Linked DNA regions of Drosophila melanogaster. The protein of the gene in region 2 interacts with the protein of the main gene of each other region in a pairwise test. Each region holds a gene or a part of one and is shown on either strand. Other genes may lie near its edges.

Region 1 (9,881 bases), on a different chromosome or scaffold from region 2:
CTACTGAATGAAATAAAAGCAATCACTTTGTTTATTTCCCTGCTTTGCATTGCCCGCCCAGAATTTCCCTGGCGAAAATTCCCAGTTATTTCAGTGCTCTGCTAATTATGAGAAATTCACGTCGGCTCTAAACACTCGAAAGCCGTCTAGACGTCTGCACCTGTGCTGCAAACTGAATGTGAAAAGGGCGGGCGGGCGGTAGTGGGTGTGGCTGAGAAAGCCAAAGTAGAAGAATAGAGGGGGATTGGCAGTGTGGGGAGTAAGCCAAAATGCTTAGCCAAAGCGGTTACCATTTCATTTGCACAAGACAACACACAATGGCCCCAAACCCAGAGGTGGCTGTCTCCTTTTGATTGTCTGTGTGTATAATTAAAACGCATATGCATGGTAAATACACTTATTGTCAGCACTGTAAGCCGTCTGAAATGCCCCCGGGGCATCGGGATGCAGCTTTAATTCCACATTGCAGCCATGAATGAAATGCAGGGATGCTTTAGACTGTAGAGGAAGTTTTTTGGGGGGGTGAAGAGTTGTGCAAAACATTTTCAACTCAATTTAGTTCATTTTATGGCAGCAGCAATGCGCTGCGCAAGTTCATTTTGTTGCAAAATAGCGAAATGCAAAAAAAAAAAAAAAAAACGAAGAGCGCACTCATAAAAAAGCATCAAAAGAGCAGTCAAAACAGCACTAGACATCCCAGTATCCCAGCATCCCAGCATCCGAGTATCCTAGTTATATGGCCTGGACATCGCCCAAAAGCTGCCAACAAAAACGCAACAAAATGCGGATGCGGTAACTGTTTCCATTTTTGGTTAAAAACGAGGTGGTAGCAGAGGTAGGTATTTCCACAGTGCAACTTCATTTGATGGCTCATGTGTGAGTGCGCCACATAAACGCTTCAAATAGTTTTAAAACCCACACTTTTTATACCCTTGTACAGGATATATACATATACAACTGAAGTTTAATGAGCGAAAAAATGTGGGCAGGTAAAAGAAAACAAATGAATATTAGAGTGGATAGTTGAAAAAATTATCGTAATCAAACACCAAGCCGTATTTATTGAAAATATCAGCCATTTCAATTTTTTAACCAAATATAAAAAAGTTTGAATTTCATAAAAGAAATTTGAATGATGTGATTATATATCCTGTATTATTTAAGTGTACAATTACGTATGAGTATTTACAGCTCTATTACCCTCAGCCCTTTTTACCCAGATGGTATTCATTTATTTTTATTTTTTTTTGCTAGTTTTGGCCACCTTTATGGGAAAATTGCCCAGCAACTAAAACATTCTGCGGCTCGCTTAATTTTCCATGAATTCACAGAGTCCAGCTGCACGTCTTGTTGCCACTTAAGTGCGCACAAAGCCGCAAGTTCCTTGCCATATGCAACATATTTTGGCCAGACAAAAGGGAAGGCAAATTTTGGTCTTTAGCATGCTTAGCCTGAGTCAATTAGGCTAGCACAAATACGAACTAGCTCACACATGTACATACATACATAGATATGCAACGGCGAGCAGTCAGGCAATGAATGAAAATTTAATTAAATTTCACCTTAAAATGATGGGCAAATTGAAATTAACGTTAAGCGAGTTGTTTGCATCAATTTAAGGTGATTGAATTATGGCAAACGACAAAATCTGTGGCCTAACTGCATTTGCAGTTGATTGATTGCATTTGGCCCGTTGCCTGTGCTAATTGCTTTTGCAACATTTTGCGACACTTAGCTATCGGTTTTCCGTTTTTCCTTTTCCCGCTTTTCCCCTGTTTTTACTTCTCTATCTCTCTGTTCTCGGCGTTTTTCCATCACCCTGCGAGCGATAAGCGGACTTCCTCAGCTGTAATCAGCAACGCCTACATTAAGTGGGTTCTATCAATCGGATGTTACATAACTATGCACATATTTGCCAAAGCACTGCGACAAAAAATGGCAATTTCTAGTTGGATTTTTCATTGATTTGGGGTGCGTGGAAAAGTTACTTATTCAGCTTAACTTAAAAACCCCTGAAAACACCCCCTAGTTACTCAAAAAATAGCACTACTTGCACTTCTCGCACCTAACATTAAATATTAATAATTAGAGTCGAAAGTTTTTATTTCAGTCACTATTTCGAGAATGCCCCTTTCTCCAAGTGGACTTGGCAAACTTGTCCAAGGCGAAACGTGATTTTCCTTCCGTTCGTTCGCTGGCCAACTAAAACTTGGCCAAAAGGGTCCGCTTTAAACACACTTTTAATGATGTTGCCGCCGCCGCTTGTAGCTTCGCAGGGAAGCAATATTAAGCCCCACTTGCAACTGGAGGTGTCGGGAACGGCACTGCACTGCACAGCACTGCACTGTATTGCATTGAAATTCAATTTCGCGGCAAAGTTTCCATTGTGAGCAGCTCCACGTTGCTCCGTGCTGACATGCTTTGGGTGGTTCCCCAGTGCTTGACTAGAATCCCGGCTCAAAGCCAGGTAAATCCCCACCCAACAACCCAACAACCCAACAGCCAGCCATCCGCCCGGCTCAACAGGAAAGGGGTGGTCTCCATTCGACCCGCTATGTGAACAGCTTTTGACATTGCCGTCATGATGAAGTGGAACGCACAGCTGAAGCCCCACCCCAGCTACTGGCTCTAAAAATACAAAAAAAAAAATAAACCCAGAAGAAGGAAATATAAAAGCCGGGGGCAAGAACTCGGCTATCCCTTTATCGCTTTTGTCGTTTTAATGGGTCAGCAGTGTGTGCCTATACAGTTTGACAAAGACCACGAGCGAGTGCGAAGCTCTTAAAGCTGTTGCATTTGGCCAGAAATCAGACAACGCGGAAGCCATTAATCCCAAGCTTCATCCACCATTTGTGGCAATAAAAACTATATACCAAGAGAGTTGAAAATAAATAAGAAATGACTGCTATAATTCTAAACTGTCTCACTTGGCCATGTTGCGTTGCTCAGTTTTATTTGCTGCACTTTTTGCTAGATGAAGTTTAGAGCAAATGAGTTCATTACTCCTCTGGCTTTGCAAATTTGATATGTATGTGTTTTAAGCTTATAGAAAACCATTTAACGTATTGGTATGCTTAAGAGTTTCCAGTATCTACAAGCTTGTAAGCACTATATTAGTTAGTTAGTTGGATGTAAATGCATTAAATACCATTAAGTGCTATGGATTGTGTGAATCTATTAGTTAGTTTCTATTTTTCCTTCCTTTTTTTATGACTACAGAAACAATTCAACCTTTGGCTACCTGCCGGTCAAAAAATGAGTCAATAATCAGGGGTTTGGCCTTAATAATGAAGTCGCAGCACCTTGTGCGTGTATCTTTGTATCTTTTGTGAGAGAAAACAAAGGGGAAGAGCTATCCGGCAGATAAAAATAGAATTTTAGGGTACAGAGTGGTGGAAACATCTGTCAAACCGCTGAGTCAACCAATTGAAGTGGCCGAGGTGGCGACAGAGGACGTTGCGGCCGCATTGGTACTCACAAATGCCATAGAGAGGCATAAATTTTGTACTACCCTAAAATAAAGTGCAATTAATTTCATTTAAATCAATGAAAATAGTGCTTTTTCATTTACAGACGGGTAAAAGAAGAAGAAGATAAAAAAAAACATGCAATAAATATTCCGCATCAACGGGGGAATTTATAGTTGACATTTTAGAGTTTTGTTGTTATTCAGTTCGGTGGCTTTTGTGGTTTAGTTGGTTTTACCTTAATTTATGGCCCGCCGATCGGTTTATATAGTGCATCTGGTGCAAATGTCCAACCTTCGAACTTTGTAGCTCCTTCTGCATGCATTTCGGACTTATCCCATATAGATTTTGCTATATAACTCCCGGAAAAGTATGCGCAAGCAGCTTGAACGATTCCCTAATCGTCTCACGTTTTCCTTTAGGGCAAGTGCTTAGCTATTGAGTTTACAGCGCAACATGCGGCAAGGACCAAAAAGTTGTTGTCGGCACGTGAAGTTTTATGCTGCACTTATGGCTTATAGTTAAAGATATAGTGGAGACAAGGGGGACGGCATGCCAGGCATTCCGGAACGTGGACTATTAGAAAATGTTTACTGGTCTTGACCCGGATTGCTGTTGTTGTTGTTGTTGTTTGGCCAGCCTGGCTAAATGAGATTTAAATTTTTTATACAACATTTTCTGCGTTCTTGATACTTGATGGCTTTTTGCTGTTCTCTAGCCACATTCAATGTATGCTGGGGAACTTTTCAATCAACCGCACGATGATAAATGAATGCTGGCCAAAATTATTGGCAAAATCCAACATGGCTTAGACATAGAGAAGTGAATAACCTGTTTGTGGCCGCTCGTAGATGAATTTTAAATACTTTTAGGCTTTAATGACTCAATAAAGCTGGCCAAGTCTACGAAACAGAGGGCTTGTAAAAAAATACAGCGGAAAATCTAGGTAGATTGAACATTTAAATGGTAAAGCATTCACATTTTTCTAGAGTGGTAGGGGAGGGGGGGATTAAGGGAACCCAGTCAATTATATATCATTCAGGATTTATCTCTGTGGATTATAGGACTGCATATGGTTAAAATATGATTACATTATTGGTATTTGTTTAAACATGAAATATGCATATGAATAGCAACAATTCACAATTGCGCGGACCAGCAATATTCACTATGAATGCACCGCATTAATATGCAAATTATAAAAAACAACAACAATCACAATGCTCCGAGCCAGAAATGGAAAATGGCCCAAACCGAAACGAAAAAATATAGTTGCAATTGAAATCGAACCAAACGAGATAAATAATAAAGGCACAAAGAACATGTGCGAATATTATGGCAAATAAATTACAAATTTGTTGTTGCCTGAAAGATTGAAAAATAATATTGGCCGCAGTTAAAAAAGGGGAAAAAGCTGTCTTATTCGTGTAAGCCGACGATTTAAGTACCCTGTACAAAATATAAGTAATGCGAAACAATTTTAATTCATTTTTTTCATACATACTTAAGTTATGATCAAGTTGTAAAATAGCGTTTTAAATAATGTTTTCATTCTTAAGTTTTAAGTGTAACGAACATTAACATACATTTCACATAGTTTTTACGAAGAAATGTGAACTAGTAAAAGATTTTGTTAACATTTTTTTTAATTTTTAAAGCCCCTCGAAAAAAGGGCACAAAAAGTGAAAATTTATTTTACAAGTGTGTTTTAATCCGTGTTCCCGCCCCTTTTTATACCGTTAGTTGGCTAGTTACCTGCGCCGTGTTTCCCGTAATTGTTGTTCCCCTGATCGTTTCCAGTGCAACAGGGACGCTCGTAGTAGAAGTTCCAGGTGTTCTCGTAGTCCGCAGCTGTCTCGCTCACACTACTGCAGAGGAGTAGCAGGAGTGCGAGGAGCGGCGATAGCTGTAGAAGCGACATTGCGAGGGCGGTGCGAGCGAGAGGGGTGGTCGACCGGGGGCCGAATGCGACCCCACCAACCTCAATTGGATTAAAGTGCAAGAGCGAGCGAGAGGCGGTTGCTTGTTGATTTTACCGTTTGATGAATAAAAACCGGCACGTTTTTTCCCACGAATAACTGTTAACACATTTAACTTGTATTATTTTTACACACTTTTGCGGCAATTGCAATGGAATTGATTTCACTGGCAAATGGATTTTAAAATAAACTTCTTTCCTTGGGCGATTTATAGCACCCCTCTGCTATTTTTTTCTCCTTATATATATATGTTTTTTTTTTGGACCCGCAGTCGTAGTGCCAATTTCGTTTCGGATTAATTATGTATGCGTTGCAGGCGCATAAAGGCGTAATGCATTTTACACAGTTCTGTGTTCAATTCGGTTTTCAATTCGATTTCAACGCATTTAGCCATCGGAAAGCATGTGCGATATGAAGATAAAGGCAAAAGGAAACGTTAAACTGGTTTATTATATGCCCACGCATCGGAAAAACAAAAAAAAAAGCAACAATATTGGGAAACAATGAAAATTCCTCAACGCTGGAGAGTGGGAAAGAGACAAGGAAGGTGAACGAGCGCGTTTCTTAAAGTTTATACTATTTACAAGGCACTGCATCAATAAATAAATGATGAATCTGCAAATATTTCCTTGCTTTCAGTTTAAAATTTGCCTTTAACCCACACGCACACAAACTTGCTCACGCACTCACACACACACACATACGCAACAACAAAGCCAGAGATACACACTTGAGTTGTTGTTGGGAGTTTCGGTTTATTGGAATTTCGAAAATCGAACTCCGAATTGAATGAACTGCAAAACGCCAATTAGATAGTTGCAAGCCTAATGCATTTCAGATATTTTACCGATGCGAAACAAGTTCCGCCACGAAAGGGAACACTGGTAAAATGCCCAAGAATCTCGAGCGGAAACACCAAACACAAAAGAACAACCGACAACAAGTAGAAGTGAGAAAACAACAACAACGCACGATCGCTCCGATCGCGCAGATGTGAGAAAAACGCTAGCGCGTTTAAGTCGAATGACTATCGCAGTCACGCGTTTGGGTTTTTGGTATATACCAACAATGGTGATCGTGTTTGAAAATAATATTTAAAATATATATAATTTGCATAACTTTTTCTCTTTATATCAGAAGTTTTAGATTTTATTTTGGCTAACTTTGAAATATGCTTTCTTATTTTTGTCTGTTTACAATGCGCTTGCTTTTTAAGTTAGTTAATATATAATATAATATTTTCTTTGACGTATTCAAGCCGATTTTAACTATTTCTTAAATTATTCTTAAGAAAAGGTAAAAACTGTTGACACAAAACTTTGTTTAATATTCGTGGAGCGTCGTGGATTTTCATTTGTCGATATAATCCTTGCTCCTTGCCACAAAATGCCGTTGCAGAATGGCGGTATTCAATTTTCGTACTTCACCGTGCGGAAGCGGCAAAGTGATTTTTAGCAAGGACAACAAGGACAACGACAATTTTGGCAATAGGCAAACATTTGCCAACCCAGACACACACAAAACGGGCGGCAGGATGGATGGATGGATGGCAGGTATGCAGACGAATCCTTGCATTTAGCAGCCTCGAGCGGCAATTAAACGCAGTTTGCTAGTGTCTCTGGCATTTGAGTGTCTGCTTGGCAAAATATTTAATTAAAAAGCAAGTCGGTTATGTTTTCGCATCTCCTTGATATTTTCTATTGTACGGGTGCCACCTGTGCGTGCTTTCGTTTCCATCAGTGGCGTAGGGGCTGTAGTTTATTCAATTATTCAGCTGAGATGTTAATGATGATTGTTTGAGGCACTGATCAGCTCAGGTGGTACGTGACCATCAAAGAAAAAAAAGGTAAGAAACTTATAATATAGTGCAAACGTTTCCAACTAAAATTTAATAATTTTGATCGCAATCATTGGCTAACCCCCACAAGAAATCCTTGCGCACGCCACTGGTTGATTGTGTCTGCCTGGCCTTTTCTCTCTGTTTGCCTGCTAATGAGTTTTCGCAGAATCACCACACTAGTCGTCCCCCTCGCACCCGACCGTGCGACCAAAGGAGCACTTGCATCATGATACTGTTGAAAATTTTTGACACATGTTCACTCACTCTATCCCTCTATTTCATTGCCTCTCCCTCTCTCACACTCACTCTCGTTCTAGCCCGCATTGTTGTTGCCGCTTTGTAGTTGCTTTGATGTTGGTTGCCATTTTTGGGTTTTTTTCCCTTTTTCGGGGGATAGCCTTTCAAGTGCAGCAGCGACAACGTCGCCATTGTCATTTGTTTTCGCAAACGTTTCTTTCACACAATGTCAACTTTCAACAAAGGACTTTAATTAAGTCCTTAATGACAGCTTAATTTAGCGCACTTTGCACAGCGCGTATGCCCCAACACGTACACAAACAAAGGCACAACGCACTCACACGTAGCACATACTCGCACACGTATGTATGTGTGGGAAAAAGATGGGATGTGTTTTGTTTAGTTCTTTCGCTTTCTTCATCTCGGAATCCTTTAGTTGCGGTCAATTAAATAATAATTTCAAATCTAAAAAGTACACGTCATTCCATAAGAAGTCATGCAACAATTTAAGGGACGAAAAGAGAAATTCAAGTAAAATGAAATAGTTGCCAATCAACCACCCTTCATATAAACATAAAAACTAGCATTCGTTTTGCTTATTATTTTGTGATGCAATTTATTACTTAATAAATTGGGAGAGAGCCTAAATAGCATTTTGATTGTGCCAAATAATACATGGAACTTGTCTCGCCAAACATTGTTGGTCGCTCAACTTGTCAGCGGCCGGCAACTTTCATGCATTATATAAAAAGTTGGCCAAATAACCAGCAGCGAACCACACCAACACACTGACAGACACACACACGCACACACATACACAGCTTGAGAAAGCGATAAAAACCATTTGTTGTGAATGTCCTGTTTTGTTATTTGTTGTTCTGCTGCTTGTCCTTTGTTGTGTTGTTGTCGTCCCAAGTTGGCTTACTCAAGATACTTACAAAGATTTCAATGCACTTTCTTCCTACCAACTTGTTCGCGCAGAAAGCCAAAAAGCCAAAAGAAAAATAAAAACTGGACTGACCAACAAGAGCAGCAACAACAACTGCAGTGAAATAAGCCTATAGAAGATTTGGCTCAACTGAAATTATAAAACATTTAAAACGCAAGGATATAGCTTTATTTTCGGCTAAAAATTATATTTTTCCGTGCTTGGGACTTCTGTACTTGGTTTTATAAATCTAATGAATATGCTCATATGTCCTAAAAAATAGAACCAATTCACAGATATATTTACAGCTAAGAACTTTATTTTGTTTTTAGCATTGAGATACTCCTTTTATTAACTTTCCAAGTTGTTGCATCTATCAAGGTGCTCTTGTCAAAAAAGCAAACAGATTCCTGTTACCGTGTGTTGACTGTACAAAGGCAGCGGCATCGGCGACGAACAAGAACAAGAACGATTTGACTTCTGGAAACTGTCAGAGCAAGCAAATGGCACTAAATATTAAGTTTGCCGTTGGAACTTGACCAGAAAAAGTAAACTACGAGGAAAACTTGGCCGGCCAGAACTAATGAAAGCTTTCTGCAAGTGTGAGGCGTGATGGTGTGCGTGTGTGTGTGTATGTGTGTGGGCTAAAAGTTTTTGCCTTTTGGCTCGACCACAGAATTTCTCATGAGTTGGCGCTGCGGCTGCGGCTGCACTTGTTTCAAGTTCAATTAATTTTAAGTGCGGCAGCAATTGTGTTGCACATTGTTGTGCCTCCACTCGTTTGTTTACAACGACTCTGCACTCGGTGTGTTTTTTGTGCCTTTGGGCCAAGCTCTGCAGTTTTTTTTTGCCTTTTTACGCCATTCGGATTCAACTTTGGCCTGACATGCAATGTCAGCGCCTGTGTTTATGCTATAAATAATGCAGCATATTTTGCATAATGACAAGTTATCGCACACAAAACATAATTGCATGTATTTGTATTGCAGACATTATGACGTCACCTTAACGATGGCGGACAAGCTTTTCCTTTTACCCCTCTTGAGCTCAAATGTATCTACAAGTCGCAGACTTTGTATCTTTGAGATGCTTGAGACCTACGGTAAGTCAGAACTTGGAAGTAGCGATAAGGCGTATCAAACATTTATAATTCATAATATATATATTGAAGTAATATATATTGAAATAATACATATATGTTGAAACAATGTTTTCAAAAAATTCTGCTGCAGCATAGATGGTTCTTAAACAAGCACTATAATGCGACCACGATTAGATTGACTGAACTTAAGCGTAGATCCCACAGATCAGATCACCTACCTTCGAAGTGGGTGACGCAGAAGTCAGCCGGAATTTTCCGGGATTAGTGTCACATCAAACAGACAGATTGCGGCAAAATGCAGCAACAAAAGTTGCAGAACAAGTGCAGA
Region 2 (9,799 bases):
TGCTGCACGAGACCGATACGATATAAGACCCACGAACGAAAGCACCGTTCGCCTCGACTAGCCAAACGCGAATAGCCAGCACCACCGAACGCCAAGCGCCATCGAGTGGCCACCGCGAACCACTGGTGGTGCTGGTGGTGTTGCTCCCTCCACTTCTTCTTTTTCTTCGGCCTGCTCTTCTTTTGGTGACGCAGGGGGCATGACGGGGGCAAATCAGGTAACTCGAGACCGAGCTGTCGCCATACGCATTATTATCAAATGGCCAGTGGAGAGGGCGGATTGACAGTTCAACACAAGTCACCCGGAAGTACATAGGTGCCATTTAATTATGACACCCTAAATAATTTGAAAAAAAATTTGAAATCATCAATTTCTGAAGCCTTTAAAATTAGTGTGCTTTCCAATTAAATTTCTTATTTAGGGAAAGTTTTTTTTTCAATATTATTTACAATAGCATCGGAGCAAGATCATGAGATAATAAATCATACGTAAACAATTCTCTAAAATGTTCAAATTTTTTTGCTTCTTGACATTAAACTAATTTCATTTAAATTTTAACAGAAATTTAAATTTTAAAATTTTATTTTATTCTTTATAAGAAGTCATGAAACTGCCCTCGCCTACTTCTTTGCAGTATTAATACAAGAAGCACCAGCTGTTTGGATCGTGGTGTCTCTGTACGCAAAACTATCAAACGGTTTGTGACGAGGGTCGGTTGAAAAGATTGTAAGATAAATAACATTAGGCCACATTTAAGCCAAATGAATGGCGATGTAATGTAATTAAAATAGAATGGTGATTATAGGAATAATACCTCGTGATAAAATAGTCAGTACTTAATACCCTTTGTTCCTTAGCCTAAATAATTAAATAAAAATACTTTAAAAATCCCTATTATTAACGTTAAAAAGGGACGAGTTATTGTACAATACATTTTATACACAGAGCCGCCCTCGTTCTCATCTCTCGCTCTTTTCTGTGTCGCCATGTCAGTTGTCATGTCAATTGATCTGCCTTGGCGCTTTGTAAATATGAATATAGCTGGGGACGATCGAGGGAGGTGGGGATCAGGCAGTGGCACTGATTCTGACTCCGATTCCGACTGTGATTCTGAGTCCAATTCTGATTCCTTGGCCAGTCAGTCCGGAGTTGCTCCACTTCGTGGCGAGTGAGGAAAACTTGTTGCAACGGTGCTTTGTGCCGCTGTGAGTTTTCCAGTTTGACTCCAATTGAAAATAGCACACGATAGAACCAAACCTGGCCTGGACTCGATGGGATGGCATGGGATCGTAGGCGATTCAGGGGGCCAAGGAGGGCTGAAGATGGAGTGCATCTCGCTTGGCTGGCTCGCCTTGGCCAGTTGGATTCCCATTCCCATTTCCCAATTAAATGAATCAGCTTTGGACGCGTGCTGCTGTTGGAGCACAGGAATTTAGGTGAATCAAACACTGGCCACGGATCGGTAACCCACTTAGCGGATAGATTTTCCAAGATATTCGCCAGGTTTTCCTTGCCTTTTTCCTAGTTTTTCACCACTCGCCTTCATTCTTTCTACTTTGTTGGATGGGCTAATAAGTTTTAATTAGTGCATTTAATGACTACTCCCAGCTTACCAGGTAGATAAATTCTCAAATCGACATCATCGTTGATTCAGTTTATGATAATCAGATCGTTACGAAGGCTTAATACACTTAAATGCTTCCATTTGAATGATTATTACAACTAGGCAAAATGGTGTACATAAATCGAACAATATAATACTTTTAATAATACGTTTGTACGGAATTGATACTTGGAAATCTATATAAACCTGCCAAATATCATTTTCGCTTAAGAAAAGAGTATTCTAAAATATTGATTACCAGTTCTTTAATTTTTTCAAAATATATATACATACATTGGTCGTTTTTCTCTCTTAATCTTGTTTTTAAAGCATTGCTATAATTACCACCATACGTTTCGAAATGGATTTTATAACCAAGTCCAAATTTAGTTAGATTTCCACAGCCACTAATTCACTTGTTTCAGCTCTTATACTAATCGAATCAGATAAGAAACCCCTAATGAGAATAATTGTCGCAAGTAAATGGAAAGAAACCGCATCGAATGGAAATGCAGACAGATGGGGGAAAAATAAAACACAAAGTGGAGCCATCGATCGTCGAGCGATTTCCCCGACACATAAAAACAATGAACGGCTGGTGCAAGAGCTTTCACCCCGCACTCAAATCGCGATGCAACTTTTGGTCATCATATACTATACTCCTTTGGGACAGTAACTCATCTACTTACCAAATATCCACGGATGCGGCGACCAGCAGTTGGACACAATCAAGGCAACCACGTGCGGCAGCATAGTGAAGGGCCAGAGCTCCTCCGTTGGGTCTTTCGCTGCCGGAAACGCTCCCCGGATGGTACATCTGGCCAACTTGGCCCATGCCGCCCAGATTCATCATACTGCCCACTCCGCCCAGGTAGGAATCCAGCTGGTGGGAGTGCATCCTTGTGCTCGGATTGATGCTGCTGCTGTGGCTTTGGTTGCTGTGGAGGAGCTTGTTGCTGTGCAGATTGTTTAGTTTGGTGTTGTGGCTTAGGTGCAGATTCGAATTGAGCGCATAATCGTTTATGGTTCTGCAGGATGGAAAGGAATAAGGAATAGAATAATTAACAATTTGTAAGAAAGTAGCTTAATGACTTATTAGCCAAATTATGTAGAGCAGAATGGTTCGTAAGGAACACAACCCTGCACAAAGACCTCAAACTAGCAACGGTATTTGACGAGATAAACCAGCACTCGAGCAGATACCATGACAGGCTGGAGCGCGACAGAAATCGGCTGGCCAGCGCTCTTAACAGATCTCGCCCACCAAGGAGGCTCAATAGAAGGCAACCGAGGGATCTCATTTCCCGATCTCCTTTGACAAGGGTCAGCAGAGAAAAAATATTGCATACTTTTCAGCTTGCTTTGTATCTCCAATTGCAGTCTACTTTTCTGCACCCCAAACAAATGACTTAAGACACAAACTTACACACTAAGCTAAGGACTTAAGACACGAACTTGCCAAGAAAGTGCAACACAATTTTAAAACTAAATATTTAATATATTATTGAAATTCATTTAACGCCTTCCTTTTTACTAATATCTAGGAACACTAAATAATATATAAGTTTACCTTTGTTGCGAAGCAAATTAGTTACAAATTTCCTTAAAATTCACTTTTATTTCATTTTTCTCTTTACTAATAGCTAATTGTTTTTTTTTTACTCTTGTTGCAAATCTAGTAGCATGTTCAATATAGCCCACGAAAATTGCTCATTGTTATTAAATTGTTTGCTTGACAGCCATTTAGGCACAACTTTTAATTAATTAATTGGCCGGGGGAAGTGATGGTTATTAATTTTGATGGCATCTTTGTGCGCATCTTGGGCTGCACTTGGATTCACTGAGTGCCCTTTTCCGAATCACTAAACCAGGTCAAGTCTGCTGCTGACTCACCTGATTGCCGTTTCCGCGGCACAAATAAACAATAACAATCATAATAATAATGCTAAGAGAAACAATACACACGGCGACACATTAATTGAAAGCTGAGAAGCAGCGCCGCCAGCATTAAAATGCGAAAATACCGGGCATTTGTGGATGGATCTCGTTTGTCTTTGCTCGTTTGTCGCTGCTTTCCTCTTGTGGCAACAAAAAGAAACAGAAAGCCGCGAAGACGACACTTTCTTCCAGTTTATTGCATCAACGCTGGCATCGCCGAACACACCAAATGGCAAATGGAAAATGGAAGCGGGCCGGTAGCAGGTGTCAACAAAACAGGGCAGGTGCCACCGAGCCCATGAAACCCACGAAAACCACAAAGCCAACATAGCCAACAAAGCTAACAATCCGACAAAACTCACAAACATTTAGCTGAGAAAGAAAAAAGTGAAATAAGCTATTTGGCAATAGCATTGCAGGCCAGTTGGTCAACTGAAGTGGCAAAGGGGGTTAAGAAAATTATGATCTTTAAGGGTGTTAAGAGGTGCCCTCTGTTTTTTGGCTTCATTTGATCGCTGGCTCGTGATATAACTCAAGTAAACAGAAAGTAAATACTTATTTTAAAGGTGAAACAACTAAATTTTACATTTCCAATTGGCTGTTCGCATTAGACTTATTGATTCGTGCAGCTATTTAAAAAATGTATTTGCTCAATACTCCTATATACAAAATATTTTTGGCTAAGATACTAATGAGCATGGCAAACGCATCCATGCGGTTAATACTGTAATTCAAAAAGCAAAATTATAAACCTTTCAAGGCAAGCTGCTTTAAGTGAGTATTAAACAATACAAATAGTTTAATAATCTACAGACTTTAGAGTTTGTTTCTATTAACCTTTCGTTCATAGCATCAAAACAAAAACATAAATAGTTAAGTAAATATGTATGGGAGAGGAAGGGGATGGTCAAAGTTCGGAAAAAGTGAAAGAACAGAGAACGGAAGAAAATAATCATTTAAGAAATTATACTCATGAAGATCTGTGGGTTTTTATGAAATGGGAAAGCCGGAGAGTTTGTGGGAAATTTGCAAGCTGCTTTCGATCCAAAAGTTCGCACATAATCCGATGGGTAAAAACTATAAATTATATACCCATCCCGGATTTTGTCGTGGCAACAGACTCATTAAATAATAATACGAGTTTCCAAAGATTTTTTAAAGGTTGCACTGATATCAAATATTTCGGGTAGCACTTAAAAAAATATAGCACTAAATATAGAACCATAGTCAATAAATTGATATTTCTTGCACTCCCATATTATTGTAGAATTTGCACTTGTTTGTAGTCTTTATCGACATATTACTGTAACTAATTGATTTTGGCGCTCGTCTATTTTTGCAGCTAATTTGTGTTCTGGTTTGCCGTTTTTGTTTATTTTTTCTAGCGATTTCTTTTACCTCAATTTGATGGCAATATCGCGGCACTTGACGCATGGCACCTGGCCGGATTCCTTGTCGGGCACTGCTGCACTGCCTCCTTTTTCCGCTGGAGCTATTGTGGCATATTGGGCCTCCTCCTTTTCCGGCTGCTCATCTGCCTTCTCATCCGCCTCCGTTTCGCTTGCGAAATCCACCACCAACTCTTCGTTGGATTCCCGGTTGGATGTAACCACTTGCCTCTTGCTAAAATAGCCCACATGTTGGTCCACTCCCGCATTGGCATCCAGCAGGATGCGCTCGTAGGCGGCGCTCTCGTTTTCCGAGAGGGCAAAGCGCTGCTCGAAAACCCGCACGGGCAGCGAACTTTTCCTTAGCACCTCCATCCGCTTGTGCCGCAGCTCGATGGAGAAGATCAAGCGGACGCGCACCAATCGCCGGAGACCCTGATGCGTTGACCTGGCGCGCTGTAACCTCCTGCGCTGCTGTCTCAGCTCCAATTTCTCCAGACCCTTCAGCGATTTGGGATCGACCAGACCGTGATTGTAATCCTCCACTGCTGTCAAATCCAAAGCGGATCGCGTGCGACGCCAGGGCACCAAGTCGAAGTGAGCACCCGCCCAGGGATGGAAGTTCACCTGGCTGACGTTGGTGCTGCGATCCTGCTTGAGGATCCAATCCGATTGCTGCTCCTTGGTCACACGAACGTGATCATTCCGTGCCGCTGCCTGCGGCTTGTGGCGTTTATATCGCGGCACCAGTGTCGCCTCCAACATCCGAGCATCCAGACCGTAATCGCGACGCAGCTGCTCCAGCTCCCTGCTGCTGGCCGTAAACTGAGCACCGTTCCACACGATCACCGGCGCACAACTGGCCATTGGATTCGTTTCGTGGCTTGTTCCTCTTCTGGTTTTGGTTCTATATACGTATTTGTACGTTCGTTCCCACCCCGAAAATTCGTTCCCCCAAATTCCCGAACTAGTTGACTTTATGTCACTGATTGCGTTCTGTTTCTGATTTTCTGAAAACCCGCTCGTTTTCCGGTTTCCGCTCGGCAATGTCGCGTTTGTCGCGTCCGCGCTCCGTGACGCCGGCGACGCAAATGTTCGCTGGCCAAAAAAGATACAACTTCAAAATCCGCAGTCGGATTCCTATGCAAAAACGTTGCGCCAGCTGCGCTGCCAGCCAAACGCCACTCATGATTAAGAGTTTTCTGTTGCTGCTCTTCTCTGTTATTGTTATTGTTATTGTTGATGTAAATGTTTTTGTTATTGTAATTGTGATTATGGGCTGTTTTGTTGGAGCTGCTGGTGTTGTTGGTGCCGCTTTGTTTGCCGATATGCCACTGCTGCCGCAGCTACACGCAGCTACAAATATTGCAAATGCCCATTTAATATCTACTTAAATTTTTTTTTATTAATTTTAACACACTTAACTATAATGAATACTCTTAATAATAGTAATAATTGTAATTTTGCAAATAAAAAAAAATTAAATACAATATTTACAATCTAAATGACCATATTTTTCAAAACAAAATGAAAACAAATTTACTTTTAAAAAACATTTTACCTTTTTAAATAGGAACTTGAGTGACTTCTGCGTCATTTAATACCTATTTCTTTAGTTATTTATTTCAAGTGTGACAGGATCGACAACTTGTAAAACTGTTCAATTATTCACTAACGGTCTACTTCTAAAACTTAGATTTATTGTATGACTTTACTGCTTTTTATTTGCAAGTTTATTTTCGTATTTAAACATTTTAATTTTTATCTTACTTTTCACTCATTTTAAATCACTTTCTAGCAGGTTCGGACTGAAGCTATTAAAGGTGATTTACATCCACTTTGCCCGGACTCAGGCTAGCATTTTCTCTCTGTGCACGTTCAACGTTTGCTCAATATTGAAGAGTCGCGGGCTTAGCTGCCCCTCTGATTGTATTATTTATTTATTTTTCACGCTCACTGCCATGTCAACTCTGCTCTGGGGCAACCCTCTGACGGCGTCGACGTCGACGTCGCTTCACTCGGCTGAGCACGCGTCAGCAACAACAGAAACAACAACACTGGCATGCATAGTAATATTAACTAAAGCCCATAGTTGTTGGTATTATCACCGCTGTTGCTGGCCATTCTGCAATTCGAGTTCACAATTCTATTCTCGGCTAATTGACGGCATCGGGCCATTGGCATTGTATTGGCCAAATTAACCAACAATTGCGACAGTGAAATAGGCCCTTTTATAGTCCACATATATAGTACAAATATAGGTTCATAAAACAATACTTGAAACGAATTAATCATATCTCTTAACTATAATTTCACGTTGATCTATTGGAAAATATTTTTATTATTTATCTGTTCATGAATTGTTGAAGATGTTATAATATATTTTATCCTATAACTATAAAAAGAATTATTTAAAATTACGTTTGTAAATATTTTAAATATGTAAATATTTTTTGTAAAACATATTTGTTATAGTACATAATAGTCTTTATAATTATTTCAGCTACTTAAGGCCAATTTCATCATCGTTTTCCATTTGCCTTGATCGAAGTTTAGCTAATTTCTATAGAAAATATGCAATTAAGTTGCAAAATATCCGCCTAGTGTTTATAGTTCTCATTGCCTTCTAAATCATTTGCCACACGAAGTGCCTATTGTACTCGAGGCATGCCAAATATCAATTATGCTATATACTTTATAGTATGTAACTATATAGAGTTTGTGCCCCTAGAACGGGCTCAACTCAGGCGTGGCGAATGTAAATGAATTGGGGCTGGCTTGCAGCTTCTTGAGTGGCAATTGAGCAACTCCACCTGCGCGCTTTTCCTCCGTACTTTTCCACCCGGCTTTTCCAGCTGTGTGACTCATGAAAAGCGTGTGCAGATGGCGTAAAGAGTTGCCTCGATTTCTGGTTCAATGGCGCTCAGGCTGCGGGTGTCATACGAATATTACGTGACATTCAGCTGCTGAAAAATTAAAAACTTGTAGTTAAAGTGCTTAGCCTCAACCTCGAACTCAAACTCTGCGTAATATCTTTCCCTCTGGGCCATGTGACCCAAAAAGAGCAATGAAAATGAAAACGCCAGAGATGAGAGCCATTAGGTGGCTTAGAAAGGCCGCCATTGAGTCGTAGTTATAATGCAAATATAACAGAGCACATTATAATGGAGGTCCATCCATACCATCCATCCGCATTTCACGTATTTGTCGCTTGCCATTCAAATTCAAATTCACATCTGGCCGAAGGCTGTCCAAATCGCATCCATTCAGTCCATCAAAGTGATGTGACATACATCCCAAGTCATATCGATAATATATTTATTGTATTTACATTGCCTGTGGGCATTCGGCGCTAAAATTGCGCAACGAGTGTGTATTTCGATATGTGTTTTAATTTGTAATTACCATAAATATAATAAAGCCAGAACCGTTATAATTTGTTTGCTGTAAATCTATCTCTATAGAAATTGTTAAGATTTCGCTAATCTCCAGAGGAAATTAAATAATATTGTTTTACAGATTTCTCCCAGGACAAAAGATTACATTATTATATTACACTATAATTTAAGCAGATGTAAAAGTCACACATCTAACAGGAAGTACTTATTCATAGCTTATTGTCCTAAAATCAAAAGAAGTCCTTGAAAATATTTCCTAAGAAAATTTCTATTTAATGTACTATTAATTTTTCTGACCCACTCTTAGCTTTTTTTTAACGGCTGGTGGACTATTAATCTGCGAAGTATTCGAAGTACGAAAATTAACAATTTGAAAACAGCTGAAATCATCAGCCAACAAATGCTTCAGTGATTTTGAAGGGTAAAGCCATAAAAAGGAAAATAATTTCTTTTGGGCGCGCTGGAAAACAGTTTGTTCGGTGGGTAACTGTGTGCCCCACTCGGCGGATAGGAAATAAACATAAAACATTAAGCAGCACCACTCGCAGCAACAAAAAAATTTTAATAGCACTGTGGTGGGGCAATAAAAACGAAAGAAGAAAATAAAACTGCTATACGGATTTACGAATATTTGGGTAATTGCGCAATACGGAAAATCGGGGGAATACATAAAAACTGGGTTAATTTTAAATGAATTTGACTTAATTTAAAATAAATATATACAATACATTTCAAGTTATATATATTTTATATTATAACAATTATATACAAATATTTGTAGACTTATGGTGCTTAGATTTCATTTACTTCCGATATTCGAACTACTGCGACCACATCTTGCATACTTTTACTTTTCGCTCCATTGTTTTATTTCTCGGTATTCGCCAATCAAAAGCAGAACAGTCTACAAGACTTTGATCGAACGGTAAACGCTTCGTTTTCATCCATCCGTCGAAGCGGTTTAGATCATCAAAGATCGAAGATCTCACATGGCACCTAAATATATCTTGCCCCATCCGTCAATTCAAATTCAAATTTTCGAACGGCCGAGAATCGAAACACGGCAAGTTTTCACTTTCGTGTGTGTGAAAATGGAAGAGGAAAAGTAGAAAGCAAAAGTCAATGTGCTAAACTGTCTAAAAAGAATTCTTCGGCATCTTCGGCGATCGGTGTTTAAAAGGTCGCACGAAAAAACAGGTTCGTTTAAATAAATCAAAGAAATTTGTATGATATAAATTCATTCTAGTTAAGAATGTTTTAAAAAGTTATTACCAAATTTAAGCTAGTTGTAAAATAATTATGAGCAATCTTTGATTTAAATATTTCTTTTGTGAGTTTAAGTTGCGCTCACATTTTTCGATAGCCCAAAAAAGTTCTCTGTGTACCTCTCTCTTGCTATCAAAATATGCCCGTCTCTTTCTGCGAATCTCCCGTGTTATTCATATGCAAATCTGAGTTTATTCAATCACTCA

What was found.
Region 1: the proteins of f (region 2) and Sema2a interact in a two-hybrid assay, tested with the Drosophila melanogaster proteins (one large-scale study listed by BioGRID).

What each region holds. Positions count from the first base shown.
Region 1 is NT_033778.4:16,512,683-16,522,563, reverse strand, and holds the start of Sema2a (semaphorin 2a), read right to left. Parts: upstream 6,415-9,881; 5' UTR 6,294-6,414; intron 6,111-6,293; exon of another isoform or gene 6,031-6,110; intron 5,645-6,030; exon of another isoform or gene 5,546-5,644; 5' UTR 5,389-5,545; coding exon 5,223-5,388; intron 1-5,222. UniProt on the Drosophila melanogaster protein: Ligand for transmembrane receptor PlexB. Plays a role in growth cone guidance. Required for both proper adult behavior and survival. Can function as a selective target-derived signal that inhibits the formation of specific synaptic terminal arbors.
Region 2 is NC_004354.4:17,255,472-17,265,270, reverse strand, and holds the start of f (forked), read right to left. Parts: upstream 5,898-9,799; 5' UTR 5,797-5,897; coding exon 4,940-5,796; intron 2,632-4,939; coding exon 2,293-2,631; intron 1-2,292.